Macaca mulatta: one gene and its partner. The protein of the gene in region 2 interacts with the protein of the main gene of each other region in a biochemical or structural test. Links are inferred from orthologs where the notes say so. Each region holds a gene or a part of one and is shown on either strand. Other genes may lie near its edges. The genes, in order: EVL and APBB1.

Region 1 (15,787 bases), on a different chromosome or scaffold from region 2:
GGACCGAGAACCATCAGTAAGGAGCCTCCTGGATGGAAGCAGAGCAGCCCACACTGAGGGGTTTATACAAACCTGTCTGGGCACTCCAGCGCAGAGCAGAGCTGGGGTCTAGCCAGAGCCCCAAGACAAGGCCCAGCACAGAGGAGGAGACAGGGGCCTTCTCCTGTGCCAAATTCCAGTCTCTCTCTGAAGCACATCACTTGCTAGTTCAGTAGACCCCCTGCAGGCATGCAGCTTGGCTCTGGTAACACAGGTGACATCTACACTGACTTCACACAATGCTCAAACCACTGTCACAAGGTCATTATCACATTTATTCCCACTTCACATTGTGTGCTTCCCCCAAGTCACACACGGAGTCAAGTCAGAGACACTGCTGGACAGGACCCTGTCTCCTGCCATCCGGAGGCCTCTCCTTCCAGCTCTCGGGGAACTCTCTCACGCTATGAACTCCCCTCTGCCCACAGGCAGCCCCGCCCTGTCTCCTCTCAGCCTGCCCCAGCCTCACCATTCTACTTTTGCCACAGACTTGCCCTCCTTGCCCTCCTTGCCTCCTGTGTGAAACTTCTCCATTGGCTCCCATGACACCGCATAGCTTGGCTCTTCTCTGGACTGCCCCTTTTCTGACCACTGTCTTTCCCAAGGTGGAGAGGGGCAGAGAGAAAGAGTACTACACAGAAAGTCTGGCTGGCTGGTGCCCACCAGGAAGCAGTGTTGTGCTGGGAAGCAAGGCTGGCCACAGAGAGTTAAGGCCAGCCCTCACCATGGAGTCAGTGTGGGGAAGTGAGAACACTCTGGACAACAGCTCCAGCTCTGCCCCACGTCTGGCTCTGTCGCTTGCCAGCAACAAGACTTCAGGGAGGTAAGTTGACAGCTCGGTAAGACGAGGAGAATCATCTTTTTGGACTTTCTTTTGCATTTGCTGGAGATCAAATAAGGCTGATGAAATAAACAGGAGAGCAGTTTACTAAACATGATTAGCACCCAGCAGATACCATCTTGAACAAGGACAATGCTGGTTGAATAAACAGCAAATCCATATGAGGCAGGACTTCGGGTGGAATCCGCATGAAACTGCCTTCCGTGTCCACATGGAGAGCTGTCATTATCACGTAGTCTTTTAACTTCTAAGGAGAAAAACAAGGTGGCAGGTTCCTCACTGTGGCCTGGGGAATTGCCTCAGGCCTCACCAAGTGGGACCAGGCTGTCAGGTTCTGTCTTTGTGGAATGGCCCAGATCCACTGTGGAGGTCACTGAGGGCCCACTCCTGAGCCCTGCTGTTAGGAAATCACAGTTTCTGGGCCCTGATTTGCTCCTGTGCTTTCCTCTAGCCTCTACTCACACTGCCCTCCATCCCCACTACTGCCCCCAGGGAAGACTCCCTGAACCACACTGAAGAGAATGCTAATGCCCACCCTGGGCCCCTGCCCGCTCGCCTCAGCTGCTTAGCTTCTCTGCAGAACACTTACCATACACTTGCCACTGAACTGAGGGGCAAGCGCCTCCATGAGGCAGGCTGTTTGGTTTGGTTTTTAAAGTAGTGTTCATCTCCGTAGCTCTAGTAACTGGGACCTAGTGATTGCTCAACAAATGCCTTTCAATAACTGCTGGCTTTTATGTTTGCTGAGTTTTGCCAGGTATCGTGTTTCTCAGCCTGCAAGGATTTTTGTGGTGGGGGTGGCACGACTCACTTGAGATCTGGCCACCTCTGCTTTCTCTTTCTTTTTTCCTGCATTTATTTGAAAAATAAAACAAGGGCTGGGCACAGTGGCTCACACCTGAAATCCCAGCACTTTGGGAGGCCAAGGTGGGAGGACAGTTTGAGCCCAGGAGTTCGAGACCAGCCTGGGCAACACAGATCCTGTCTCTACACAAAATAAAAAAAGTTAGCCAGGCATGGTGGTGGGTGCCTGCAGCCCCAGCTGCTCAGAAGGCTGAGGTAGAAGGAGGATCCCTTGAGCTGAGGAGGTTAAGGTTGCAGCGAACCGTGTCTGCATCACTGCACTCCATCCTGGGTGACAGAGCAAGACCCTGTCTCCAAAAAAAAAAAAAAAAAAAAAAAGAATAGAAAAAAGAAAAAGTGCTGTACGTGCAAAGTGTCACAAGAGGAGGGCATTTAGCTCTGCCTGAGGGACCCAAGGGATGCTGTCATGAAGGGGAAGCAAGACTTTTCAAAAGGAAACAAGGAACCATTTCAAGCAGAGGGAAGAGTGTCAGCAAAGGCAGAGTGGTGGGTGGGGGGACCTCAGTCATCACCCTGGGGCCTCATCACTTCTCAACACCTACCCAGGGGAATGAGGAAGCACACCCACGTTGCCATGTCCCAATTCAGGGACTGAGAAACAGAGACGCTTGGAATCACAGTCTCATCAGAGCTGAAAAACATTCTGCAGTGATTTTCTTAGGAAACAGGCCTAGAGAAGGAAGTAACTTGCCCGACACCCATGGCTGATCCACGGCAGAGCCTGGACTAGACAGCAACCTGACGTTCTGTCGCGCAGTAAGGCTTTTCTGCTCCACTTGGCGACGCAGCAAAACCCGAATCCAGCTTTTACTATTTTGAAGCTGTTTTTCACTCCACCTTTTTACTCTGAAAAATTTCAAACCTACAGGAATATACAAGGGACACTCTTGTACCTTTCACTAAACATGCCCGTGGTTAACATTTGCCGCATATGAGTTATCTCTGCCTTTCCCCTGAGCCATCTGAAAGTCAGCTGCAGCTATCATGATACTTCAATCCTAGGGACTTTAGCATACATTTCTTTAAAATAAGGATATTCTAATATATAACGTAAATACCATTGTCACAACAAAGAAAATCAACAATTTACTAAAAATCTAATACAGAGTCCTATTAAAAGTTACCCATGTAATCCCAAAACTTTGGGAGGCCCAGGTGGGTGGATCACCTGAGGTCAAGAGTTCGAGATCAGCCTGGCCAATATGGTGAAACCCCGTCTCTACTAAAAATACAAAAATTAGGTGGGTGTAGTGGCAAACGCCTGTAGTCCCAGCTACTCGGGAGGCTGAGGCAGGAGAACTGCTTGAACCCGGGAGGCATAGAGAGGTGTAGGTTGCAATGAGCGGAGATAGCTCCAATGCACTCCAGCCTGGGCAACAGAGGGAGACTCCGACTCAACAACAACAACAAAAAGTTACCCAATTTTTACAAAATGTTAGATTTTTTTGGGATGCAGGATCTGCTCATGGATTACATTTGGTTGAGCCGTCTGCTTACTCTCTTTCAAGCTAAGCTAGAATGTGAAACTATTTAAAATTTTTTCATTGACAAAGATGTTGTGTGTGTGAAGAATTCAGGCCAACTAAAAGTAGACTGTAGGTTGATTAAGAGGTGACTGCCAGATCTCCAATGGAAAGCTATATTTTCCCCTTGGTAATTATTAACTCACTTATAGGGTGCCATTTTTTTCTTAATGGGCACAGATGTGAAACAGGTTTCATGTTATGAAGTAGACTTAAAATGTTTATTGTGAAGTATTTCAGGCCTGTGAGAAGTAAGTTCCCACGGTCCCACCACGCAGTCTAGGAAATCTGACAGCAAGTCCTAAAGCTGTTTAGTTCGCCTTTAGTGACGCCTGCATCCTCCTCCCAGACCCAGAGCTCCTCCTCTGGACCAGGGGGAACTGCCACCTTGCAGGTGGTGTTTTCAATTCCATGCATGCTGTCTGCAGTACAGCCATACAACTGACTATTTTACATACATGGTTCTCAAACTTTTTTGGTCAGAGAACCCTTTTACACTCAATTATTGAGGATGCCAAAAAGCTTCTGTTTTATATAGGTTAAGTCTATCCATATTCACCTTATTTGAAATTAAAACTAATACTTTTTTAAAACACAAGAATATACAAGCAGACATTTCATTAGCTGCCACAGTGATGATGTCAAAACATCACATAGCTCTGGAAAATTCCACCATGCATTCATGAGACAAGAGCTGAAATGGCAAATGATGTCTTAGTAATATTATAAATATAGTTCTGACCTACAGACTCCTTGGAGGGTCAACGTCTGGAGTACGTTTTGAGAACTGCTGCATTACAGCAATGAAAGACAATGAATTCGCTCTCTGTGTATTAACATGGGAAACCCAAATGGTGACTGAGCCCCATTTTTGAGAGTGTTAGAATTAAAGAAAGGCTTTGGGTAAATAAAGTCTACATTCAGTGTTAAACCCTGACACCTTCTTTTCTGTCCAAATTGGTTGCCCACGTCGCGGGCAATCAAGATGTTTGCCTTTTCTCCTTGGATGCCACCCTCTCAAGAGATGCCTGAACAGCGGGTCTCCATTTCTCTGTGAAGTCTGGTGCAATCTGGAAAAACACTCCAACCAACTGCTGGGGAGTCTGATATTCCTAGACTGCCCCTGTCTCAGACGCATCTCCCACACTCTTTCAAGGTCACCGACGTAGCCCTTTCTTTGGGGAGCATCTGACAGTCACGTGGACGTTAAGGCTACTCAAACCTCAGAAACATTTATATAGGTTGCTCTGTGTCTTCATCCCAAAATTTGTGTCCCCAGAGTCTGTGACTCTGATCACTTGTGAAGTAGAAGAGGTTTTAGCACAGCCTTGGGACAACAGTAGAGGCCTGGCTTGGGCCAAGGATTGGGACAGTATGTCCAGCTCCAAGGATGAATTAACAGCCTGGGAACGAAGACCCTGGCTCTGCCCTTACAAACACCCCAGACGACAGAGCAGCCACTTGGACTCCGTGTTATTTACTAGGCACAGAGACAAACATGAATGCATAACACAAGCGTCCTGCTCTGAAAGAGCTCTAGGCTGGTAGGAGAGATCCTGAGCCGACAGAGCATCGACAAGAGATATGCACGCAGGCACGGGGTGCTACAGGACGGACGAGGTCTCTTTTGTCTCCTGTGGTATTAACAGCGCAGAATGATGGAGACTGCAAAATAGAGATCAGGAGGGCCTCGATTCTAGCCTTGACTCTGCAAACTGAGACGAGTTTAGCTTTGAGAAGTTAAAGTTGAGAGCGCAGATTTTGATCCTCTCAGAGATCAAAAGCTCTGCCAAGTGACAACAATGTGACCTGGAATACGTTACTTTGTAGGCCCTTGTTTTCTTTTCTTTTTGAGGTAGGGTCTTGCTCTGTCACAGGCTGGAGTGCAGTAGTGTGATCATAGCTCACTGCAGGCTTGAACTGCTGGGCTCAAGCAATCCTCCCACCTCAGCCTCCTGAGAAGTTGGGACTATAGGCTTCAGGCATGCACTACCACACCTGGCTAATTTTCATTTTTTTTTTCTTTTTTTTTTTTTTTTTGTAGATCACTACGATACTGAGGCTGGTCTTGAACTCCTGAGCTCAGGCGATCCTCCTGCGTTGGCCTCTCAAAGTGCTGGGATTATAGGTGTGAGCCACAATGCCTGGTCAACCCTTGTTTTCTTATCTGTAAAGTGGGAATAGTGATACAAAACCTCAAAGGGTGAGAATTAAATAGTATGTATATCATGTAACTAGCATAATGATTGGTTTATAACACTCAGAAAAGCTGAGCTGTTATTTTCCTCTTCTGTGGGTTCAGTTACCAAAGTGAAGCCATTGGACTAGACTAGTTCTCATCCATTTTCTGCCCCAGCCCACCTGAGTATCTTAACACTCTAATGAGAATAACCTAGAATCTCTAGAGGAATGTTTCCCAACTAGAGGCACATGGGATTCTTTGAGACAGAGGAAGGCAGAGAAGCATCAGAAGCTCTCCAAATGATTTGGCTACAGGTCTTTAGGGAAGTGTGTGTTCCCATGGAGAGTGAACAGACCACGTGATCTCTGAGGGCTTGTTCAATTGCCTCTGGGACTCTCTCATTTGCCTGTGAGGACTGGAAACACTAGGTGTTCCTGGAGACTCCTCCAAACCCTGACACAAAGGCGTACAACTGGGTGGGAAGGATTGTAAGGTGAACCCTGGCTGTGCGAGACTTCTTACATCTTTACAGCTTCAAGATGTGCAGCACAGTGGAATAAACAGTAATGATTGTGCCCAGGCAGCCACAGTTCCTTCACTACCTGACAGCAAGTGAAATGTCTGTTTGTCTGGTCTCTTCTCTAACATGCCACACCAGGAAGCTCCACCGAGTAGCAGCTTTGGTAGCACAGGAATCTCCAGGACCATATATCGAAGTAGTTAATTAAATCCAGCAGTTCAATAAATGTGTACTGCCAGGCAATGTTTTAGGCATTGGGAATACACCAGTGAACAAAACAGGCAAAAATCCCTGCCTTCTGGGAGTTTACATTCTAGAGGGGTAAAGACAGACAGTACACAGTAAAACAAATACCTTCTATAATATGTTAGAAGATAGTACATGCTTTAGAAAAAACCCACAGCCTACCAAGGACAACAGAGAGACCAGTGAAGGAAATGAAATTAACTGGCTGGCCCCAAAAGTGGCAGACATATCACACATCCATATCACATTTCCTGCTGCTGCACCGCGATCTCAGCTAGTTCCTGCTCAGGTCAGCCTTGTTCAACCCACATTTCCTGGGAACCTGTTCTGCTAGGCCCACACCTCTACAGATTCTTCCAGCTAGCACCCCAGCTGCCCCAGCATGGTGAAAGGAATCACCACCCACCTAAGACATGTCTGACTCATGTTTCCCCCACACCCACATGTGATCCACCAGATAGTCCTGGAGGCTACAGCACCACGGCACTTCCTAAATCTGGTGACTTCTCACCAGCTACCCTGACTGCTCCACTGCTGGCCCAAATCACCCTCATCTCTTACCCGGATGACTGTGGTAGCCTCCCAAGAGGTCTTCCTGCTTCTATTCTTGCCACACTGCCAGCCATTATCCACACAGGTGCCAGAGCGATTTTCTTAAGCGTCTGTTGGATGTCTTTCCCTTTGCTTCGAACCCTTCCTCCAAAGGCTTCCCCTAACTAAATTCTGACATATGCGCTAAATTCAGCACAGCTCGCAGGCTTTGCCGTAGGGCCTGATAAAGCCTGGGCCCTTATTTGCCTTCACTCTTCCTTCTTCATGTTGCTCCAGCCTCTGTATTTTTCTTGACCTTTGAACCCAACAAACTGTTCCTATTTCAGGGCCTCGTCCCCATCTGAGGATACCTGCTGCCCCTTCCACCCCAAAGTCTTCAGATTTTACATGGCTGCCTCATGTCCCCATAGAGGGCACTGGCTAAGGCAGTGGCCCCGTCATTCTCTACCACGCTGCTCCACTGTTTTCACATCTCTATTGATGGTTTCTTGACTATATTCTGCCTCCCTACTCTGCCCTCAGTTGGAGGACAAGCCTGCCTGTCTTGTTTACCATTGTGTCCCTAGCACCCAGAGCAGCCACTGGGTGACTGGCTGCCTGCGACGCCTGCCAGTGCCTTCTAAAAAATCATTCCTATCCTTCAAAGTTCACCTGAGATCCCACTTTCTCTTTAAGGTCTTCCCTGACAGTCCCCAACTTCTCAACTCTTACTGCCCCTCCTGTTTATGCTTATTACTGTCTATGCTACAGGGTCCTTACAGCGAGTCGCCTCCTCATTTCTGTGAGTGCTGCCTTCCTCACTCCCGACCAGTCCCTGAAGACAGAGGCCGCTCCAACTCAGGCGTAAGAGCAAAAGGGCAAAGCATCTGTGGTCAGGAGGCACAGGTTCAAGTCCTGGGTCTATCACTCACTGGCTATGTCTCTTGTCAAGTTACTCTCTCCTTCTATGAAACAGAAACAATAAAAACAATGCTAGCTGGGTGTGGTGGCCCACACCTGTAGTCCCACTGAGGCAGGAGGCTTGCTCGAGCTTGGGAGTTTGAGGCCAGCCTGGGCAATATGGCAAGACCTCATCTCTAAAAAATACAAAAACAAAAACACCCCACAATGCTACCTTCAGGATTATTGCAGTAATTAAATAAAATAATGTCAGTGAAAGCATTCTGTACGTTGTCATGCACTCAAGAAAATTCCTAGCTCCTAATCCAGTTAGGGCTTGGAAAACGTTTCTTGATTGGTGAGTAGTCAGAGCTAGAGCTAGTAAGATATATTTGCACATTAAAAAGGCCCTTTGTATCCCCACCACAGGCGCCGTGGTATCCCCATATGTCAGTCAGCATGAGGAAAAACAAAAAGTTCACAGCTCCTATGGCTGCTGACCTTGCAGCTCCATGAACGCTGCTTCCACCAGGACTGTCACTACGGGGCCAGGCCAGGGACCTGTGGCAGAGTACAAGCAGCCTTGTACGGGGAAGGGATGCTCCAGAAAACCTGGGCTTTTGCTTTGGTTCAGCCACTACTCTGCTCCCCGTAGACAAACTCTGCTCCACACTGGGCCTCAATTTCCTGATCTGTGCACTCAGGAGCTGGACTAGATTAGTGTAATCTTCAGACTTGAAAATCATCACCACCACCAACAATATGACTTTTTTTCCCTCAATTAATTATCAAGGAATACATTAAAAAGACAAAAGTACTCAAGCCTGTAATCCCAGCACTTTGGGAGGCCGAGACGGGCAGATCACGAGGGCAGGAGATCGAGACCATCCTGGCTACCACGGTGAAACCCCGTCTCTACTAAAAAATGCAAAAAACTAGCTGGGCGAGGCGGCGGGCGCCTGTAGTCCCAGCTACTCGGGAGGCTGAGGCCGGAGAATGGTGTGAACCCGGGAGGCGGAGCTTGCAGTGAGCTGAGATCCGGCCACTGCACTCCAGCCTGGGTGACAGAGTGAGACTCCATCTCAAAAAAAAAAAAAAAAAAAAGACAAAAGTAGAGTTATTTTGGCTGAAGTAGAGGATAAGATGCCCAAAGCACCACTAACCTAGGTAAACTACTGTAGATCATCTCCAAGGTCTTTTCAAGATGGAAACTTCTAGATTTCTACGATTTTAAAACTGAAAAAGAGATTGATGTGCCTCCTCCCCATTTACTTCTGATATAATTTTCTGCAATTAGTAATTGGCAGGGTAGAATAAGCTGCTGGAATTTTTCACAATGTAATTTACAACTAAAAATGACTTTGGAAGTTGATATGCCTTTGAAATGAAAAGTATTCTGTTTTCAGAAGTTCCATTCACAAGTCCTCTAAAGTTAAAAGAAAGTTACTAAAATGATAGGAGCAGAAATAAAGCCCACTGGAAAATAAGCAGCCCTGGACAAGTTCTACCTACCACCATGTCAATTTTAACAACTCACTGCAAACTGCTTCTCAAGAGCCTGTGTAGCGTGCTGCGAAAACCACCGGACGAGGCCATCCTTGTTAAACCCTGGTTCCATTCCTTCCTCCACCTGCCATGTGACCTCGGACAAGCCCCACAACTTTTCAGAGGTTTTCTCAGCTATGAAACAGGAGTGATGACGGCGTTCTCATCGATCTAACACGATTAAAAGATTCAAATAAGAAAACTGGTGAAATGGCACTTTGAAAATTGTGAAATAATTTTCAAAGTGAGGGACCATTACTTTATGCTAAAAAACAAAGCTGTCATGAGTCAACCAAACAAATGCCCCAAACCCCACAGGTTAAAAGTCTGTCTGTCCTATCATCTATAATCTTTCAGAGTTGTATGGCAGGGGAGAGGCAGGTCCAACATGTAATCTCCCCTTTAGAAAGAACAATCTCAATGAGGAGTGCAGTTTGTAGACTGGCTGGCACTCACACATGTGCTAAACAGCAACAGCCTAAGGTCACAAGTCTCACAAGTGGAGGGTCAGGATTCTTGCTATTAAGTTCATGAAGTTCCTATAATAAAAATAACTCTCTCTGTCTATATTTAGATAAAACAACCAGTCTCAGGTCATTCTAGAGAGAAGAGCCAGGACTCATCAAAATGTACCTCTGAGCTAAACAACAATCCCCTAGATGGCTCAGACCCTCCTCCCTATAATCTGAGGTAGGGGCTAATTTCTGAGTAAATCCTTCATCCAGAAGCCATTAAGGGTCACAGGCATCAAGAGACACAGGCCTGTGTAATGGAAAGACCAGCGGCTGGAGAGTGAGCAGATTGTCACCAACGTGCTGTGTAACCTCATGTAAGTCCCCTGCCCTCTGGTCATGGATTTCTTGATCAGTATACTGAGGGGTCATGAGATGATTTCCACAGCCCATTCACCAGTAAGATTCTAGGTTTCCTCTTGACATCCCTCTGTTCCCTGTATTGGTTTCAGTACTCACCTTGTGGCCATGGCTGAAAAGTGGCAGCACAGGGAACCCTGAGGAGGTGAGTCCGGTACTCCCACTGGGCTATGCTGATCAGAGGACCACAGACTCTCTGAAGACAGCAACTTGATTTTTATAGACTACTTAAAACCAAACAGGAAAAGGAAGCTGAACCAGAGACAAAGGGGAAACAAACCCAAGTGAAAAACTGAAACCTAGGTAGAAAATAGAGAAACAAGAAGCTAGCAGTGCAGAGCCCTACCAGCGTGGGTGGCTGAGAGGCACTTCACAGGCCTGACACCTCCACGGCTGGCAACCTCAAGCCTCTAAGCACTTCCTGCAAGGGTGCAAGGGTGGGTGATGCCTGCTGGAGGTAGGGGCCAGGTCGTGGTGCTGGCCCCCGACGAACTAGCTCTATAGTCTGTCTAAGTCAATGCCATTTAAGAGGTCTGGGCCTCGGTTTTCCATCTGTTATAGAAAGTGCAGGCTCAGCACAGACGACTTCCTATAGGCCTTAAGAAAAGGCTACAAGAACTCGCAAGAGTCCCCGCTGACTCTCCAGAGAATAGAAGACTAGATGATAAAGACTATAAGCTGATCTTTTTTTTTTGAGACAGAATTTCACTCCCATCGCCCAGGCTGGAGTGCAATGGCACGATCTTGGCTCACCGCAACCACCGCCTCCAAGGTTCAAGCGATTCTCCTGCCTCAGCCTCCTGAGTAGCTGGGATTATAGGCATGTGCCACCATGCCCAGGTAATTTTGTGTTTTTAGTAGAGACAGGGTTTCTCCATGTTGGTCAGGCTGGTCTCAAACTCCCGACCTCAGGTGATCCGCCTGCCTCGGCTTCCCAAAGTGCTGGGATTACAGGCATGAGCCACCATGCCAGGCCGCCGATCAAGTCTTAATATTTGACTCTGGAACAAAATTTGTACTTCTACCGAGCAGACAGCTCTCTCTAATGAGGACATTTAAGTCAGCAATTTAGAGCCTGAAAGGAAAACATTTGAGGAACACTGAGAACTTGGCTTTGTCACTTGTTCATTAAATGGGTGGCCTCAACTGTAAAATGGGGTTAGTTATACTTACTTTGCCTATCTCCAACAGGGTTCTCATGAAGATAAAATCCAGTTCAATCTTTCTTTCAAAATCTACTGAGAACTCACTAAGAAGCATGCACTGTGTTAGAAATCACAGACAAAAAATTCAGAACGACCGTACTGGTCCTTAAAGGACTTTTATGGCTTAGGAAAGAAGAATTCTGCCCTCTGGTCATGGATTTCTCGATCAGTATACTAAGGGGACCTGAGATGATTTCTATAGCCCATTCACCATTAAGGTTCTAGGTTTCCTCTTGACATCCCTCTGTTCCCTGTATTGGTTCCAGTACTCACCTTGTGGCCATGGCTTGATAATGTTAGCAAATATTTAATAGATCCATTAAAATATTGATATAGTGAAAAATAGTTGTACAGAGTACAGTACAAAAGAAGTATCAGTTCTAATTGCAGAGATGAATGCACTTTGAATGCTAAAAATGCATTTTTAAGAGGCTTTTAATGATATACATTTCCCTTTAAGCACTGTTTTAGTTGCAAACCACAATTTGGATGTATTGCAGTTTTCTTTTTTCTTTTGGTTCAAAATATTTTTAATTTTCTCTAGTGATTTCTTCTTTTATCCATAGATTATTGATAAGTGCTTTGTTAAATTTTGAAATATTTGGTGTTTTCCTATATGTGTCGCTACTTATTTCCAATTTAATTCTACTGGGCTCAGAGAACATATTTGGTGTGACTTCTTCCTTTGTTTTTCCTGGTATGATCTCAATCCTTTCACATTTATCAAAATGTGCGTTATGGCCCAGCATGCAGTCTACCTTGGCGGATGCAGCATACGCACAAGGAAAGAATGTGTATTCTGAAACTGGTCGGGTGCAGTGTTCTAAAATGTCAATTAGGTCATGGTGGTTAATAGTACTGTTCAGAACGTCTATGTCCTTGTTACTTTTTGTTGCTGTTGTTTGTTTTTGTCTAATTATTCTATCAACTGCTGAGGGAAAGGTCCTGAAATCTCCAACTGTGACTGGATTTCCCTCTTTAATTCTGTCACTCTTTATTTCATGGGTTTTGAAGCTCTTATTAGGTACATTTTTCCATGCCACATTGGTTTTCTGCACTGCTGTAACAAATTACCACAAACTGAGTGGCTTATAACACACACACTTACTATCTTAAGAGTTTTGTAAGATCATAGGAGGTAAGAAGCCCAACATCATCAGAAGTCCCACATGGGTCTCTCTTGCTCACCTTTCTCAGCTTCTAGACACTGCCTGCATTGCTTTCTCATAGCCCCTCTGTCCGCTTTCAAAGCACGCAGCATTGCTCCGACCCTTCTTCCACAGCGACATGTCTTTCTGACCACGGTGTGGACAGGTTCTCTACTTTTAAGGACTCATGTGACTAGACTGGACCCAATGGATAATCCAAGATAACCACTCCATCTCAAGGTCCACAACTTTAATCACATCTCCAGAGTCGTTTTTGCCACGTAAGGTAATATTTTATTTATTTACTTTTTTAGAGACAGGGTCTATCGCTGTCACCCAGGCTGGAATGCAGTGGGGTGTGATCATAGTTCACTGCAGCCTCAAACTCCTGGCTCAAGTGACCCTCCTATCTCAGCTTCCTGAGTAGTTAGGACTATAGGCACACACCACCATGCCTGGCTAATTTAAAAACATTTTTTTAAATAGAGATGGGGTCTTGCTATGTTTCTGAGGCTGGTCTCAAACTCCTGGTCTCAAGTGATCCTCCTGCCTTGGCCCCCAAAGTGCTAGGATTACAGGCATGAGCTACCATGCCCATCCCATGTAAAGTCACAGAGTCACAGGTTCTAGGGATTAGGGCAGGGTGATGGCATTACTCTGCCTACTACACATCCTTTCACCTTCAGTTGATTTGTATCTTTGTCCTATAGATAGTGTATGATTGAGTCTTGCATTTTCACCCAGTCTGACAATTTCTATCTTTTAATTGGGGTATTTAGTTTATTTACATTTAGCTTATTGATACAGATGGATATAGGTCTACTACTTTGCTATTTGTTTTCTGTTTGTCTCGTCTGTTTCTGGTTCCTCTGTTCTTCGTTTCCTGTATTCTTGTGGGTAAACTAAATACTTTTCAGAATTTCATCTGAATTTCTCTGTTGACTTTTTAGCTATACCTCTATTTTTTTACAGGTCTTTCTAGGGATTACAATATACATTCTTAACTTTATAAAGTACACTGAGTTAATATTGTACCACTTCAGTAAAATGTTAAGAACTTCATAATTGCTTAATTTCATTCTCCACTCCCACCCTTTATGGTGTAGCTGTCATATGTGTTACATACTCAAAATATAATGTTATATATTTTTGTTTTAGACAATCATATATATATATATATATATATATATATATATATATATATATATATATACAGCTGACCCTTGAACAGCACAGGTTTGACCTTCATAGGTCCATTATACTACTACTTTTTTTGAGATGTGGTCTCGCTCTGTTGCATAGGCCAGAGTATAGTGGTGCAATCACAGCTCACTGCAGCCTCAACCTCCTGGGCTCAAGCAATCCTCCCATCTCAGCCTCCCAAAGTGCTAGGACTACAGGCATGAGCTACCACCACGCCTGACCCAGGTCCACTTGCACATGAAATTTCTTCTACCTCCGCCACACCTGAGACAGCAAGACCAACCCCTCCTTTTCCTCTTCCTCCTCAGCCTACTCAGTGTGAAGATGACAAAGATGAAGAACTTTAAGATAATCCATTTCCAATTAATTACTAGTGAAACTAATTAAAATATATTTTCACTTATGATTTTAATAAAATTTTTCCCTAGCTTAATTATAAGAATACAGTGTGTAATACATATAATAACAAAGTATGTATTAACCAACTGCTTATGTTATTGGTAAGGCTTCCTGTCAACAATAGGCTCTTAACAGTTAAATTTTAGGGGATGCAAGTTTTAGGTGGATTTTTAACTGTGTGAGGGGCCAGCACCCTAACCCCTGGATTGTTCAAGAGTCATGTGTGTGTACATATGTGTGTGTGTATTGAAGAAATAAAAGTCTTTATGTTTACTCATATATTTCTCTTTTCCAGTAATCTTTATCCATCCCTGAACATCTGAATTTCCTGTTTTTGTTTTTGTTTTTTTTTTTTTTTTTTTCAGCCTGAGGAACTTCCTTTAGAATTTCTTTTTGTTTTTTTGAGACAGGGTCTTGCTCTGTCACCCAAGCTGGAGTACACTGGTGTGGTGTGATCTCGGCTCACTGAAACCTCTGCCTCCCAGGCTCAAATGATTCTCCTGCCTCCTGCCGTCTGAGTAGCTGGGTCTAAAGGTATGCGCCACCATGCCTGGCTAATTTTTGTATTTTTAGTAGAGAACGGTTTCACCATGTTGCCCTGGCTGGTCTCAAACTCCTGGATTCAAGGGATTCGCTCACCTCGGCCTCCCAAAGGGCTGGGATTATAGGCGTGAGCTACTGTGCCCGGCCTCCTTGAGCATTTTTTGTACAACAGGTAAGTTGGCAATAAAATTCTCTTACTTTTCTTTTATCTGAAAAACATCTTTGTCTTCAAGCCTCAAAGCACTTTTTGCGAATAGAGAATACTGAGGGTTTTTTTGTCTTTCAGCACTTTAAAGGTATTGTTTCACTGTCTTCTGGCCTCCACGGTTTCTGAGAAGTCAGCCATCATTCACATACAATGTACGTAATGGATCCCTTTTCCTTTGGTCATTTTTAATATTTTCTTTTTCTTTCGTTTTCAGCAGTGTGACTGTGATGGGTTTAGGTGTGGTTCTTTTTGCATTGATTTTGCTAGGGTTTCATTGAGATTCTTAGGTATGTAATTTAAGGTTTTTCACCAAATTTGGGAAATTTTAGTCATTATTTCCTCAATTATTTTTCTTCTGCCTCATTCTCTTTCTCCTCTTCCTCTGGCACTCCAAGTACATGTATGTAGACCTCCTGATATTATCACAAGGCACTGGTAATTCTTTTTAAAATATTTTCCCATTTTTCAGACTAGATATCTATTGATCCATCTCCAAGTCCACTACCCTTTCTTCTGGACCTCTGATCCACTTTTAGTCTCATCCAGTAAATTTTTCATTTCATTTCCAGTAGTAGAATTTTCAATGGGCAAGTTTTTTATAATTTCCATTTCTCTGTTGGGATTTCCTGTTTGTTCACTTTATCCACCTTTTATTAAAGTCTGTGAACATATTTATTATGGGTAACTTGAAGAACTTGCCTGTTTGTTCCAACTTCAGGAGCATTTCAGGGTCTACTGACTGCTTTCTTCCCCTTAAGTATATGTCACATTTTCTGACTCTGTATGTCCACTAACTTATGATTGTATGTTAGATACAGTATGATACATTGCAGAAAGTCTGGATTATGCTATCTTTCTTTAAAGATGTAAAGTCTGTTCTGGTAGTCAGGGAGATTACTGGCAGATCCTTTTGGTGCTACCAAGCTTGGCTCAAACCTTTCTTCAGTTCTATTTCCATTTTGAATTTAGCCTTAGGGGTGTGCCTCCCCTAAACAACCCCCCAACTCCACCCCCCACC
Region 2 (15,687 bases):
CCACGCCACTACCACACCACCCTACCGGCTTACCATGCACGCAGCCTGCACAGCCTCTGAGAGGCTAGCAGCATTGGGCTCGCACCAAAACATGTGGCAGCAGAAGGAGGCTGGGCCGGCAGCCATGATGAATGCAAATGTGTGGACATCTCTGCCCACGGCCAGGAAGGAGAGGAAACGCACCCGACACTCTCCCAGCACTGCCTCTGTCTGCATGGAAGGAACTCAGTTAAAAAGGAACACCACCCCACACTGTGTTCCACATCCATCTTAGCAGCTCTTCCCTTCACCCCGTCTCCCCTCCACAGCAAGGCAAAGCCACGACTTCTACCCCAGCTCTTTACCTGCTGGTGCAAGATGGTGAGGGTAGCAGGAGCCACACTGACATGACTTGGGGTCCACTGCTCACGGCTGCTGGAGGACAGGACTGACTCGAGGGCCCCATTAATCACATCTACCCCTAGAACATATGGACACAAGACACCATTGACGGTAGAGAGAGGATACCCCAGCTCTACCCTAGAACTCTAGCTCCACCCAGTCAAACCCAGGGCCTTTGCCCCATCCCCACTTTGCCAACCTACATCTTGGACAATGCTGTCCAAGTATCCCTTCCCTGGGTCCCCTGGCCTCAGTAACTGGACATTTTCCTACTTTTTAAAATCTTGAATCCTAGGCTGGTTATTTTCACTGGCTCTGCCTATTCCTCCACACTTGTGAACCGACTGACCTCCCAAAGTTCTGACTTCCCCAAATTGTGCTCTCTCAGCGCTCATCACACTCAGACACCACATTGCTTCACACCACAATAACTCCCAAGTCAGCCCCTACAGGCCAGTCCTCTCCCAAGACCCAATTATTTTTTAAGATAATCTATTTGAGGAGTGATTACTCTGTATCACACTGTGCTAAGTCATCACAGTGTATTACCTCATTTGTGCCCGCACAACAACTTCACAACAGATTTCCATTTTACAAATAAGGAAACAGTAGAGATAGGCAACATGCCTTAGGTCACATCAAGGAATGGAGACCTGAGCTCAGGCAGTCTGATTCCAGAGCCTGGGTTCTTAGCCATGCCTTTCTCCTACCTCTTCTCTATATTACTAGTTTTCAGAACTACAAGGGCTTTCAAGATCTTAGGTTCTACTCAAGAATGTCTATAATGTGCTCAAGGGCCAAGGAACCCAAGGTTCCTGACTTTTAGATCAATCAGGTTTCCCTTATAATGCATGTTCTCCTCCACCTCAAACTGCTGTTAAACATTTCCCCTCATGGATCCCACTTTTGCTTGCACTCAGCAAAGCACCAAGGCAGGAGCACATGGTGTGGTGAAGGCATCAGTCCTAGTCCCCACACTTATAAGCTGCCCATGTGATCTACTGTCTCTGCACAATGCCAGTGCAAAAGGCATATGCCTCTGTGGTCCAGTCCCAGGCCCTCTGCCCCTTTTAGTGCCTCTCAGCTCCCACTAGGAGCGGACCATGTGGACTCTTTGTGGGCAGAGGACAAATGTCTTCCTTGAATGTCTTCTCCCATCTTGGCCTTGCTCATCTTACTTCTGGCTGGAGCAAGGCCAAACTGCTCCCAAAAGCATGCGAGTCTTCCAAAAACTGGCCTCTCCAGAGCTGTCAAGCCTCATATTTTACTGCTCCCTCAGCTTCAGATGATTTGTGTAGCATTATTATTAACAACCAATCTTGGCAAATGGCCTGTAAGGCAGATGGGGAATACAAAACAAGAGAAGAGAATGTCCTTGAGGGACACAGACTGCAACTGAGGGAAAAGCCTCTGTCTTGACTGCCCTTTCCCCGCTGGACTGAGAAACTCCAGACTGTCATCCTTCAGGGCTCCGACTAGGTGTTCTCTAGGAAGCCATCCCTGCTGCAGGGCAGGGAGAAGACAACTCTGAGACAACTCTTACCACAACATCTTGTAACTGCTGGCAAACTTTTTTCCACACTGGGCTTTGGCCATCTCAAGAACAGAAATGGAATTTAATTAATCCCTCTGTCCCCAATTCTAACACAGCGCTTATCTGCTGAAGAAATTCCAGATGCATGAGCAAGTCACTCTCAAGGCAACATGAGCAAATGCACCCAAACTGGTAAAACCAAGTGTCACAGAAGTGGATGGGCCAGGTCATATTGCAGAGCGCTTCAAAAGCCAGGCAGAGGGGTGTGATGTTTATGACATTTAGGCCAGGGCAACTGGAAATCTCAAAGTTCAGTTGTGTGAAAGGGACATCAAAGTCAAACTGCTGAGTAGATGGGGCTGTGGGAAGTGGAGCCCGGCCTCAGAGTCTTAGGAGGTTTGGCAGGGAAGCAGTGAAAGCAGTGGAGCAAGGTATGGAAGAAGGCGGTCAGATTTGATAGCAACTCAGGACTAAAACCTACACCGTGACCTTGACCTCCAGCCCCACATGCAATCCCCCTTATCCTGGTGTGCTTTTCTTTTTTCTTTTATTTTTTTTTGTATCAGTTGTTGCCTTCTAATATACTCCATGGTTTACTCATTTTATTGTCTGTCTCTCCTTGCTAGAATGTAAGCTAAATAAAAGCAGGGATCTTTGTCACTTTTGTTCATCAATGTATGGCAAGAAGCTAGAATAGTGCCTGACACACATCAGGCACTCATTACCACTTGTTGAATGAATGAATGATTAATGAACGAATACTACAGCTTCTGGAGGGGCTAATGTTAAAAAAGGAGGTTAAAAAGGAGCATAAGATAAAGCAGGAAGTAAGTTTAGAGGCCACTTGTCCAAAAGTGTGGAGCTGATGGAGCAGTCAAGGGTCACAGGCAGTTGATCTGGCATAGGGAGGACCTGAGTCAAGTGGTAGATGCAAAGAAGCACATATGGGAGTGGGGGTAACAACCGGAAGAGCCAACAAGGGTTTAGAAGTTGAGGATGAGAAGGAGGAAAGCAAAGGCATAAGGGTCAGCATGCTTTTCTCAACTCTAGCTCCAAGTCTTTGGCAGTGCCACTGAATCCAAATGAAATATCCACTCCACTCTGCAAATCCAAGCCTTCCTTCAAAACCTCAGTTCAATCCCCACCTTTTCTAAGAAGGGTCCCCTCTTTCAATGTAAGATTTTGGACATGAAAGTCAGCACGGTATGAGGGAAAGTGCAGAGAATTAAAGATGACCGGGGTTTGACTCCTAGGTCTAGCTTTCCTGGCCATGTAATCTGAAGCTAGTCTCATTTATTCATTAATTCATTTTTTAAATTCATTCATCAAAAATCTGTTGAGTTCCTCCTATGTGTCTTTTGACATGATACGCCACCACTTCTTCAAGTAGTCTCTTTTCTTCTTCCTGCCTCTCTCCTGTTGTCACTATCATTGGCAGTTTCATCCTCCACCCATCCACTGAATGTTGGAGGGCCTCAAGGCTATGACTAGCCTCATTTCCCTTCTCACTTCAGGATGCCGACTTTCCAGGGTCAAGCTACTCTACATCCATGGCTTTGATTACCTCTACAACCCAATAATGCCAAAACTTCTATCTCCAGCCCAGACCTCTCCTCTCAGCTCCAGATCTGTGAATCTAGCTGCCAACCTGACTTTGCCTCTCAGTTTCCCCAAAGGCACCTCAAACTCAGCATGTCCAAACGTTAGCTTACAATCTCCACACTCAAATTGGCCTCTTCTAACATCTGCCACCTTGAAAGAAAGAATCCACTATCCAGAAGGTCCAACAGCCAGGAACCTAGCAGTCACCCTTAATGCCTCTGTCCCTCACCCACACTGAACCAATCACCGAGGCCTGTTGACTATACCTGTCTAAACAGCTCTGGAATCCACGAACTCCTCCTCAGCTCCACTGTTGTCCAAGATACCCTCATTATTGGCCAGGACTACTGCAACGGCCTCCTAACTGAGCTGCTCACATCCACCTCCACCCGCCTAACAGTCCCCTCCATGAAATAGCCAAAGTGAGCTTTCAAAATTCAAATCTGATTAAGGCAAGTGCACTCTTGGAGACTTCAATAACTCCTTGCTGCTCTTAGGATGAAGAAAAAATCATTAACATAATCCCTGAGATCCCTGACCTGGCAGCCTGGCCACTGCCCGGCTCTCAGCCTCATCTTGCATTGGCTTTCTTTCAGTACCTTGGAAGTGCCAAAGTGCCACCCACTGTAGATCCTGATCTTCCCCCATCCTACCCCCACCTCCATTCCACTTGACTGCATTCACTTCTATTCATTTTTTGGATTTCAGTTCAAACGTCACTTTCACAGGGAAGTCTTTTATGACCCCAGACTAGATGAAATTCCTCTGTTCTATCTTGCTACTTTCTCTCAATGAATAACTCACAATTTGTGTGATTATTTTATTAATTCCTGGTTTTTTTCTACCACAACCTTCTATAACCTCTATGAAAATGGGACTGTGGCCACTGTTCTCCCAGCGCCTAGTCCAGGGCCTGCCACATAGTAAGCTTCAAAGGTATTTGTTAAGTGAATGAACAAATAAATAGCAGATACTATGACAGCACTGAAATATAAGAGTTAACCAGATCAGGCCAGGCACAGTGGCTCAAGTCTGTAATCCCAGCACTCTCAGAAGCCGAGGTGGGCGGATCACTTGAGGTCAGGAGTTCAAGACCAGCCCTGGCCAACACAGTGAAACCCTATCTCCACTAAACATACAAAAATTAACCAGGCCTGGTGGCGGGAGCCTGTAATTCCAGCTACTCAGGAGGCTGAGGCAGGAGAATTGCTTGAACCCGGGAGGCGGAGGTTGCAGTGAGCTGAGATCATGCCACTGCACTCCAGCCTGGGGGACAGAGCAAGACTTGTCTTTAAAAAAAAAAAATTATTTGCAACAATAATATATGTGACAATTATGCTCACTGTTTCCTTCTCCTGATACTTCCAGCCCACAGCTCGTGCTGTAACACTTAACCCAGCTACAGGCTGCTGTCTGGTGTTTCCAGTCATCTAATAGCTGCCTCCCAATCCCACCAAAGCTTTTCCATGGGATGAAGGAGTGGGGTTTCCCTCTGTGCCTGGTTCAGCACGACTCACGTGGCTGATGCTCAGCGAAGGCATGCTGACTGCTGCTATAAGCAGGACAGTGAATATAGCTAGGACAGAAGTACAGGGAGGTGGGATGCATTTTAAAGGGTAGGGAGACATGAAGCATGAGGAAGGTCTGGTAGAAGAAGTATTGGAAGGCAGAGGGTAGGGGCAGAGCTTTAGGATCAAGGTAGCAGCCCCTGGGTACAGAAGGACACACATACCAACAGGTTTAGCAACAGGTACATTCCCCAGGTAATAGACTTGGAACTTCTGGACCAACTCATTCTTAGGCGCTGGGAATTCCACTATGGGAAAGAACAGAAGGTTGATCATGGTGGGAGACCTTGCTCACCCCCAGTCCCCACCAGCAGGGCATAAGCTAGACACTTGCCCAGCCGAGGTCCTACTTCCATCTCGTCCCTTGCCTCCCTTTAACCGGAGTCCCTCCACTTATTGGAGTATTCAGTCTTCATGTGTTCATTTTTCTATCAGCGCTGTCCAGGAGCTCATGCCTTTCCTTGAGTCGCCCACCTTTGCCAACAAATCTGATCTGGACCTGGAGGGGTTTTGACACTGACCTTGGAAAGGGACATCCACAAGTTTAGAGTGGTCCAGGGAGAGTCCATTCACCAAGCAGCGGGCATTACGCCGTTCGGCCATGATCTGAGGAAGGAAGGGAGGCGAGGAGCCAGGGAGAATCTATTAGAGCCTCATTGCCCTGGGGCCCCCCCACCCTACTCAGTAACCCCACCCACACCCTTGTAGAGTGAAGGTGGCAGCTAGTCCAGGGAGTGGAGGGGGCCGTGCCTTAGAGCAGATCTCATGCAGGCTGGTGGCGATGTTCTTGGCGGGTGCCTCACAGCGAAACACGTGGCACTTGAGCATCTGGGTCAGCTTATCACGAGCTACGTAGGCAAAGTCCCTGTTGGGGGAGGGGCACCTCAGTGTCTCCCAGTACCATCCAGTGCCAAGCCTGGTCCCCACCCCACCCATGTCCTCCCTGCCCGTCACAGCTCCTCCAGGGCTTCTGCCCACAGCTGGTTCCCCATAGGTGCTGTCTTCTGGAGGGAGGGTAGACAGGCAAGCATGCTGAGGTGGAAGGTAATGGTGGAGCATAGCAGGTTGGAAGGGGCAAGGCAGAAGAGGGAAGCTTGGGTGCTTCCAGGCATCTGGTCCAGGTGCAGGAGGGGGAAAATAGGCATAGTACCTCTCTCTGGGTCCAGCAGCACAAGAGAGGCAAAGAACAGAGTTAGAGAGGAGGACTCTGACGCTGGATGAACTCCCACCCTGGAATCCCAGGCCCTGTTCCCACCTTCCACTGTCCCGCCCAACGCCCCACACACGGATGCTGATGATGGGTTGGGCGTGCAGCAGTGCCTGGCTCTGTGGCTCCACTAGCTTTAGCGTCTCGTCCTCCAGCTGTAGTAGCAGATCCTTTCCCTGCAGGCCCAGAAGCAGGCACTCAGTGGGACTCCAGCCGGGATGGTAGCTGATCTCTGATCCTGCAGCTCAGGGGATGTTAGCCACAGCTCTGGGGCCCCTGCTTTGGTGTCAGACCACCCGCCCTGCAGGCCTCACTCTAGTGGAGGTCACGTGTCATCTCTCACATCGACTCCACTGTTGTTAGGCTACCATCTCGCAAGGTCCTAGCCTGGGGTCACTCATCCATCCCACAGGGCTGCCACTTACGGAGGGCCAATATGCCCCTTTCCCAGCCTGCTTGTGGGCAGGTCAGACCTCCCATCTCTCATAATTCCCTTCACACTCTCTCATAGTACCACCCCTGCTGGCTCAGGTCCTTACTTCCCCCCAGCCCCCAGACATGGGGTCATGCAGGTTGTTTTTGTGGTAAGAGAGCTGACGGATGCAATTGTTGACTGCCACACTGCTGCGTCCAGGGGCCAGCTCCTCCTCGGTCATCTCTACCCAGCCTAGGGATCGCACGGCGAAACACTGCCAGACACAGAAGAGGGGCAGGAGGCAGAGGATCGGAGTCAAAACTGGAGAGCCCTCAGCACAGGACACAGCAGAGTTCCTGAATACAGAGTATGGCAGGAGGCAGGGTGTTCTGAACTAAGACGGAGAAGCTCCCCAAACAGGATGTGGTTAGGGAGAGGGGGATGTGGTGAGGGTGAGGGAGATGTCATATGAGACCCTGGCTAGTACAAAAAAGCACCTGAACCAAGACTACGAGGGCCCCCAACCTGTCTGTTGGGCTGGTTGATTTAAAAATTGGAAGTGCCTCCAGCTCACTCACAGGGCTCTTTGCTGAGGCTGGAAGAACTCCTAACTCAGGACCTGGGGGACTGCACTGAGACCCCTCAGAGCACAATATTAGGGGCTGTCCTACACACAAGAGGGCCCTGGTCTCAGAATGGGTGTCAGTCTTGAACAAACCTTTATCCCTGGGTTGGTATTCCGTGGGGGTAGCTTCTCCTCCTCTTGGGGCAATGGCTCTGGGCTGGAGGCAGATGGTAATACTTGGCACAGGGCCCCCATAAATGGAGCTGTCCCAAGGCCCCTTCCAGACAGATCCATCCCACTGCCAACCCACTGCATCTGGCAGCTCACCTGAGGCTCTGAGCTGGGAAGGTCAATGTCCCCTCCTCAGGTTCCTTCAGTCCCAGCTCCATTGGGGCCTCATCACTGGGTTCATCCTTGGGAAGGGGATTGAGGAATCAGGATCAAAGTGATGCACCTCCTCCAGCTATCCCATGGTAAAGCAGGTCCCCTTACTCACCTTCCAAAACTCTCCATCCTCAAAGCCTTCTCCGTGAGCAAAACCTGTCCAGGTGAGCTAGGAGGAGGGAAGGGAGTAGTGAGCGAGTGTCCTATCCTACTCCAGCAGCACATACTCCCTCCTCTGGCCCAAAACCAACAGGCCTGTGAGCCTCACCTGGGACTCCTCTTGGGGGCTGCTCCCTTGTGAGGGGGAGGCCCGGCCGGGGGGTTCCCACTGGGTGGTCCCTGTTGGGATGTGCCAGTAATAGGTCCCTGAGGTGTCCTGGACCCTCATCCATCCAGCCGGCAGGTCGGAATCCGTCTCGAAGGCGTTAGGGTTCCAGAAGGAATCTGCCAGGTGGGAGGCTTGGTGAGGGTCAGCCTTCCTAAAGAGCAGACAGTTGGTGCCTATGCCCGGTCCCCTCTGAGACCCCATGGTTGAGAAGGGGTGGAGGAAAAGCTATACCACAACACAATTCCTGCTTCTGCCTAGAGCCTATAGTCTGGAGTCACCACATGTGGGGCCACCAGTAGGGGACATGGCTCAGGTCTCCTCCTGGGCCCTGTTGGTGGCTAATGTGGCCACACTGTGGAAAGGAGGAAGGCAGGGAAGGAGGAAGGAACGGAGCAAGGAAGGTTGGGTGACCCCAATTAACCTCCTTTCATACATATCTCTATCTCAGTGAACACAAAGGGGAACACTTTTTAGCTCCTGCACACATACATGTACACACAGACACACAACACATACAAGCCCTACCACACACCTGTGCAGCCACAAACACCAGGGTATGCAACACAGAAAATGCCAGCACAGATGGCAGGTATCACACACAGGTGCACATGTACGTGCATGGGCAAACATACACACCAACCTTAGCCATACACTTATGCAGACACCACAGAGGCATGCACATGCAGCTAAACATATGAGCCCCTGCCACACAGGTGTGCAGATACCATACCACAGTGGCACCTAACACATGTGTGGGTACCATACATACAGGTGGACCCACACTCAGACACACGGCATACATCAAACCCTGCCAAATGTGTGCAGACACCACAGACGCTCACTTCCTGACCCTTGCTGCACACAGTTGCAAGCAAACATGTCATGCACATACACACATACCTCGCATCTGTGTCATACACCCTTGTCTGCCGACAGAGCCACACCACTCCATCCCTGTAACCCGCTCATGCGTCCTCTAACTCTTCTTTCCCTGTCAGCCCCACCCCACATGATGCCCAACCTCGTGCTGCCCCTCACCTGGGCTAATGTCCTGCAGGATGATGGCCAGGAAAAAGTCCTGGGAGAACGTGGCGCTCATTCCCGGCCCCTCCCGCCTCCACCCTCCCTCCTCAAAGCCCCTCCAGCCCAGCCAGCTGGGGCTCACAGCCTGGTGCTGGGCTGCAGAGAAAAACTCATCCCGCCCCCTTCTCACCAGGGCAGAGCGTCTGCCAGGCAAGATCCTCCCCCGCTTGAAGCTTGCTAGGGAGGGGCCAGGACCACCATGCTAGGGAATCTCCTTGAGGGGGTGGGGAAGGGAGGAGAAAGGGAGGTTCATGAGACCCCAGCCCCTCCTGCTCACACCTCTTCTTCCTCACCCTGGCTCCCCTCCCCCAATCCTGAACCTCCATCCCACCCTCCAGTGGTTATCTCAGTGCCTAAGCCAAGCCCAGTCTTAGGGATACCAGGAGACTCGGCCCCTCAGGAATACCCCAGCTGCCTGGGGCCCTGCAGAGCCTATAGCTCTCAGCATAAATAGGGTGTGGTTTCAAGGCCTTTGGGGATCCTGCCCCTGTCCAGAACCTGCACAGCCGTTTGAACCCAAGGGTGGGCTTTGAGCTCCTGAGCCCCAGCAAGCTTGAGGCTGGGCTTGGGGCTTCCCAGCACCACCCCCCACCCCTCACCTGCCAGGGCCCAGCTAGGCTGCAGCGTCTCCTCGGCAACCGCAGCACCAGGACCGGCTGGGAGCGCCCAGACTGCTGACGTGCTTCCCGTTACCAGGGAAACCAGGAATCCTGACTGGTCCAAGAGGCAGCACTAAGGGACAGGCAGTCCCAAGACCCCAGCTGCTGGGCAACCAGACACAGCAGGGCTGGAAGTGGGCGTGGTTACTCCAAGGTGGCTGCACACCTGATGAGTTATTCAGGCAGGGTGCTTCACCATCCTCAGCTTCCAAATGACGTGGGCCCACAGACACCCAAAGAGGAGTGGCTCTTGCCCATCCACCTTCTAGGCAGCCATCACCGCCTCTCCCCGCCCCCACTTCCCCCTAACTGACACCCTATGGAATAAGGTTTTCAATAGGCACCTGAAACTTAACTGAGGCTCAGGGAATACCTGCTGTTCCCCAGAGACCCTCCATTGCCTCGGGACTCTCCTGCTAAAACCTTCCAGAAACACCACACCTAAGGCCTCCATGCCCTCCACAGCCACAGTCTGCTTCAGGAGGGCTGGACACTTCTGGAATCTGGGGACCAGTTCACCATCTCCTGACTGAGTGACACACACCAATCCATCTGCCATCCCTGACAGCCTGTACCTTCCTGCTTCAGAGAGCTTCATCCTTCCGATCTGTCCTGGAAGGGCAGCTTCTCCCCGCTTGGCCATCTGGGAGGCCCTTCTGGAGCTTGGCACATCTCCCTTCAAGCACAGCCCACCCAGGCCTTTGCTTTCACATACATGCATTTATTCCAGAACGTACACCTTCACTCCTGCATCGATTCATGCAGACACTTACACATAAAATATATTAAATGTTCACATATCATTCCTTCCTTCATTCATTCATTCATCCACAAATGCCTTTAGTGGCAAAGCCAGGTGTACTCACTTGCTCAGGAATCAGTGATTGACTTAATGCTCTCCCCTTCTCTCCACCCCACATAACTAACATAGCCCAGGCTACTAGCATTTTTTTACCTGGATCATTGCAAAAACATCATTAACTGGTCTTTCTCTTCCTGTCTGGTCTCCTCCAATCTCAGCTGCACACTACAGCCCAAATGATTCTTCTGAGATGCTAAACTAATCAAGTAATTTTCCAACTTAATCCTCTTAATTGTTTTGCACTGCCCTCAGGATAAAGTCCAAATTCCTCCCCAGGTTTTATGTGTTGTCATGAACCCCTGTCTGCCTCTCAGCCTTACCTCTGGCCACTCCCCTTCTCTCTCTTGGCTTGGGACACGCCCCTTGTCCTCTCCCAGCCCACCTCCCTTTCTCTCGATTTTCACCTGGCTATCACCTACCTCTCCTTCAGACATCAGTATACAGGTCCCTTTAAAACTGACCCATTGCCCTCTCCCCCACCACTCTCACAGGCAGGGTCAGGGGCCCCTCCTGGACTTCCCCAGCCCCAGAGAGCTCATCGCACTGATCATAACCTCCTGTTTCTTTCTTTGTCTCCTCACCAGGCTGTGAAGGCCAGGAGGGCAAAAACATCTTTGCCTCACAGTATACATTTCCAGCATTTAGGACAAGGCCTGGAGCAGAGTATGAATTCAACACAGGTAGTAAAGTTTATTCATTTATCATTCATTTAATTCATGAATTCATGCATTTATGCATTCAATCCATAGCTCTATGAATATCCTACAATAGGAAGGAGAAAATAATTTTTGCTCAATTCTAGCCTCATTTCTGCAGAAGCACAAACCTTCTCTGCAGCCCTCTTGGTCATAGCAACACAGTCATAAAAGAGTAATCAGTGACTTGGCCCCTTTCCTGGGCTGGCCCCCACCTCTATCCTCAATTCACAAAGTCTCCACCAGTGCAAGATCCTTGAGAATCCTCTCACCCCTCCAACATCCTTGCTGAGGTCACTGCCCAGCAAACCCATCCCAGCTCTTCAGCAATACTATCCTCCTATTCCTAGAAGCTTCATAGGTTATTCATAGTTGCAGCCACTACAGTGACCATCCCAGGGGCAACTGAGCAACTAGGCCTCTATCTGGTCACTGACTCATACCTCCTAGTCTTGCAAACTTGCAACCTACAACCTGCAGACTGATGCAAGCCTCAGATAGATTGTGTGTGGCCTGCACCGTGCTTTTTAAAAAATAGAATTTGTCGTTAACATTTAGAAATTGGGCTATTTTACACCAATATCTAGTTTTCAGTTTCCCTTTAACTGGCTGCATTGAGACTACATTTTTCCTCACCCCAATACCACAAGTAATCAGCTGGAGTGCAGGAGGGGCTGTTCCTTTTAAAAGGAGTTGAGGCAATGACTGCCAAAGGCCACTAACATCATGAAAAGAGAGGCAATCAGACTTTGCCTTTGGTAGAAGTATTTAAAATACCACCTATGAAATATGCTTGCAAAAGCAAAACACAAAAATGCTCAAATCTGAATCTGATCAAGGCTCTAGAACTAACTACCAATTTACAGGAAATCCAGGGGAAGAGGAGCATGGTAAATACCACCACAGGAGAGAGTCTGAAAAATCCAGACCATAGAAAACCCAGGACAAACAACATGATTCTTCAGTTAAAAAACAAAAGCAAAACTGCAAGCAAAAAACAAATAGACAGGGGGAACTTGATCAAACGAAACTTTAAGAGATGGATCAGGCCAGACATGGTGGCTCACGCCTGTAAGCCTCGTGCTTTGGGAAGCCAAGGTAGGAGGATTGTTTGAGAACAGGAGCTCACAACCAGCCTGGGCAACATAGTGAGACACTGTCTCTACTTTTTTTTTTTTTTTTTTTTTTTTGAGATGGAGTCTCACTCTTATTGCCCAGGCTGGAGTGTAATGGCTCAATCTCGGCTCACCATGACCTCCGCCTCCCATGTTCAAGTGACTCTCCTGCCTCAGCCTCCCGAGTAGCTGGGATTACAGGCGCCTGCCACCATGCCCAGCTAATTTTGTATTTTTAGTAGAGATGGGGTTTCACCATGTTGGCCAGGCTGGTTGTGAACTCCTGGGCTCAAGCAATCCGCCCACCTGAGCCTTCCAAAGTGCTGGGATTACAGGTGTGAGCCACTGTGCCCAGCCTCAATCCAGCCTTTTTAAAAACATAAATATCAACTGGATATTTAATGATACTAAGAGATTATTATTAAATTTCTGTAGGTACACTGATATTATGGTGGGTTTTTCTTAAGAGTTTTATCTTTCAGAAATGCAAAAGTAAACTTTGTTGTTGTTGTTGAAAAAGGGTCTCTGCCATCCAGGCTGGAGTGCAGTGGCACAACCATGGCTCACTGTAGCCTCGACTTTCTCGGGCTCGGGTGATCCTCTCAGGTCAGTCACCTGAGGAGCTGAGACCACAGCTGCTGATGCCACCACTCCCAGCTAACTTCTTTGTATTTTTTATAGAGGCGGGGTTTTGCCATGTTGCCCAGGTTGGTCCTGAACTCTTGGGCTTAAGCAATCTGACCATTTTAGCCTTCCAATATGCTGGGTTACAGGTGTGAGCCACTGCACCCAGCTGTAAACATTTATAAATAAAAGTATTTGCTTCAGAATAACCTACGCTGGGCCTAGGAATGGAAGACAGCATGTAGGTAGCAAGATTAGTTATGTATTGATAATTGGTAAAACTGGGTCATGGGTAAATCAGGCTCATTATTCTTTTCTCTCTACTTTTGTATATGTTTGAAAATGTCCAGAATGAGTTTTTCGAACGGGGATGGTGTGCAGCCCTAGGCTCATTTGAACTGCATGTTCTCTACAAAGATTGCACAGTTTGGGGTATGGGTATGGTGTTCGCTGCCTGGTGAAGATGGGGATCTTTCCTAATCTTTCTTAGACCCCCATCTACAGAACTCCAGGGTTGTGACTATAGCCCATTATCTCCATCCTTTGTTCCTCAGCTTTTCCTGTATTCTCTACATGACATTAGAAAATGTGGAGACTCAGCTGATTTAAATGGGACATATTTAATTATTAAGCCCTGGAATCCTAGTATCTACTCTCCTCCCCCTACCCAAAGCGTTTTCTTTTCTAACTTTTAGTCAATATCCTACTCCTGACAGCAGCTCCCCACAGACGTGACCTGTTAAAACGGGGCAGACTGTCCCAAGTGCACCTAAGTGCACTGTGCTCTGTGCTGTGGTGGCAGTGTAACACAGGGCCAAGAGCTCAGACCTGGACTCAGACCTGGTCTAGATCTCAGCTCTATTGTAATCTCAGCCTGTCTGTGGTCTTGAGAAAGCTACTAAACCTCTCTGGGTCTCTTTTTTGTTATCTGTAATATGGGGATAATCATAGTATTTACCTCACAGCTTTACTGTGAGGATAAAGCCTGAAAATGCTGAGTAGAGGGCCAGTTACCTAGTCAGTGCCCAGTAAACAAACTAGTCCACTTACCAACCATGGTGGCATGCATAATGAACAGATCTATCCATCCAGGCATGCATGATGGTCAGATCTACCAGAATGTCCAAGCACTCTCTGAACGAGAAAGCCTGGACATGGCCTGCTGTGGCCTCAGGACATGGGCTTTCAGCTCACATCAGGCTGGCACTGGCCTCTATATGAGAGGCCTAACCTCTGCCCTCACACCCTCCCACATGCCCATGTCAAGCTCCACAAGGTACCTGTGTCCTCTGGGGAGCCATAGGAGGGGCTGCCCTGGGATAAGGTAGCCCAGCTTGAGTCCTCGTCACTGGCTGCACTGTTCCGCATGCCAAACAGCAGGCTGGCACTCTTGCTGTGTTCCCGGGGGCCATCTGTAAGGGCTTGGGGCCTGGGAGGGGCCTCCACACTCTCCAGGGTCTCAGGCAGCCCTGGGGGAGAAGATAAGTCCTCCTCCTCCTCTTCATCATCATCCTCCTCCTCCTCCTCCTCAGCCTCCCCTGCCGCCTTCTCCTCTCCCTCATCTGGCCCCTGCTCTTGAGTGCTGATGATCAGGCCAGGTCCTCGTAGGCCTCGGTTGGCCGCGTTGTGGGCTGAGAGCTCCAGCTCAGAGTACAGGTGTATCAGGCCTTTGGGGCCCAAGGGTGCCATCTCAGGCTCCTGGCTGGCCTCCTCCGCCAAGGTCAAGGTCACATTGCGGTTCTGGTCACGGTGGGCCGTGGCGGCCCGCCGGAGTTGGTTCTGGCCCTCTTTTAGCCACTTGGCATTGGCAGGGCCTGGTTCAGGCCCACCACCCTCCCCCATGGCGCTACGCAGGTCCTTGGGTCCCACAGCTGTGGCCTGCAGCTTGGCGTTGAGTAGCTGGTTATGGGCAGCGTGCAGAGGCAGGGGTAGGCTCAGTGTGGGGCCTCCGTGGCTGTTGGCATTAATGGCCGACTGGCTCAGTGATGATGGAACAGACATGGCCTTGGCAGCTCCTGTGGGGTGGGGAAGGGAGATGCTGTTGAGCCTCTGGTCCAGAACAGCAGCATCACTGCTTCTGCCCCAGGGCTACGCCCTGTGCCTCCTCATCTCCCTGCACTAAGCAGGCTAGCACCCATGGCTCTCTATCCTATGAGAATGACTGGGCTCATCTTCTGTCCCAGCACTATCGTCCCCATCACAGGCCAGGCCCAGGTCTGAGGCTCAACCCATCCCTATATCCCCTGCCCTGAGCTTTCTGGGATGGCACAGCTGGTGCCTGCTCCGCCCTCGATCCCACCAGCAGGGCCTCCACACAATGGCTCTCTGTGCCTCCCCACCCCCCAGCTCATCCACCCGGGGCTTACTGTGCCAGGAACACCACTAGAGTGGGACTGGCTCGTGTGTTTTGGACACTGATCACTGACTGCCCCTCTCCTGCTGCACTTCCATCCCAAGCCCCACCACTGTAAGCTCCTCCGGCTGTGTTCCTATTCCCATAAGTCACTCAGCTCAACCAGCCCCCAAGCCCACCCCATACTAGGGACTGTGAGGACAGGAGGAAATAAGCTGCAGAACCAGCCCTACAGGGCATGGCACAGGAAGGCAGGTCACAGAGGGAGGGTGCTCGGTTGCAATTCACGGCTCCGCTGGCCAGATGAAGCTA

The links.
Region 1: the proteins of APBB1 (region 2) and EVL form a complex in vitro, tested with the Homo sapiens proteins (2 studies listed by BioGRID). The link is inferred for Macaca mulatta from reciprocal best matches to the Homo sapiens genes APBB1 and EVL.

The regions. Positions count from the first base shown.
Region 1 is NC_133412.1:173,395,309-173,411,095, reverse strand, and holds the start of EVL (ena/VASP-like protein), read right to left. Parts: upstream 10,262-15,787; 5' UTR 10,174-10,261; coding exon of another isoform or gene 10,163-10,173; intron 9,363-10,162; 5' UTR 9,243-9,362; coding exon 9,184-9,242; exon of another isoform or gene 9,159-9,183; intron 1-9,158. UniProt on the Homo sapiens protein: Ena/VASP proteins are actin-associated proteins involved in a range of processes dependent on cytoskeleton remodeling and cell polarity such as axon guidance and lamellipodial and filopodial dynamics in migrating cells.
Region 2 is NC_133419.1:59,373,567-59,389,253, reverse strand, and holds part of APBB1 (amyloid beta precursor protein binding family B member 1), read right to left. Parts: intron 15,038-15,687; 5' UTR 15,024-15,037; coding exon 14,303-15,023; intron 9,741-14,302; exon of another isoform or gene 9,084-9,740; coding exon of another isoform or gene 9,023-9,083; intron 8,132-9,022; exon of another isoform or gene 8,101-8,131; coding exon 7,925-8,100; intron 7,826-7,924; coding exon 7,769-7,825; intron 7,686-7,768; coding exon 7,600-7,685; intron 7,490-7,599; coding exon 7,426-7,489; intron 6,982-7,425; coding exon 6,832-6,981; intron 6,469-6,831; coding exon 6,341-6,468; intron 5,951-6,340; coding exon 5,836-5,950; intron 5,692-5,835; coding exon 5,607-5,691; intron 5,334-5,606; coding exon 5,250-5,333; intron 461-5,249; coding exon 345-460; intron 211-344; coding exon 34-210; intron 1-33. UniProt on the Homo sapiens protein: Transcription coregulator that can have both coactivator and corepressor functions. Adapter protein that forms a transcriptionally active complex with the gamma-secretase-derived amyloid precursor protein (APP) intracellular domain.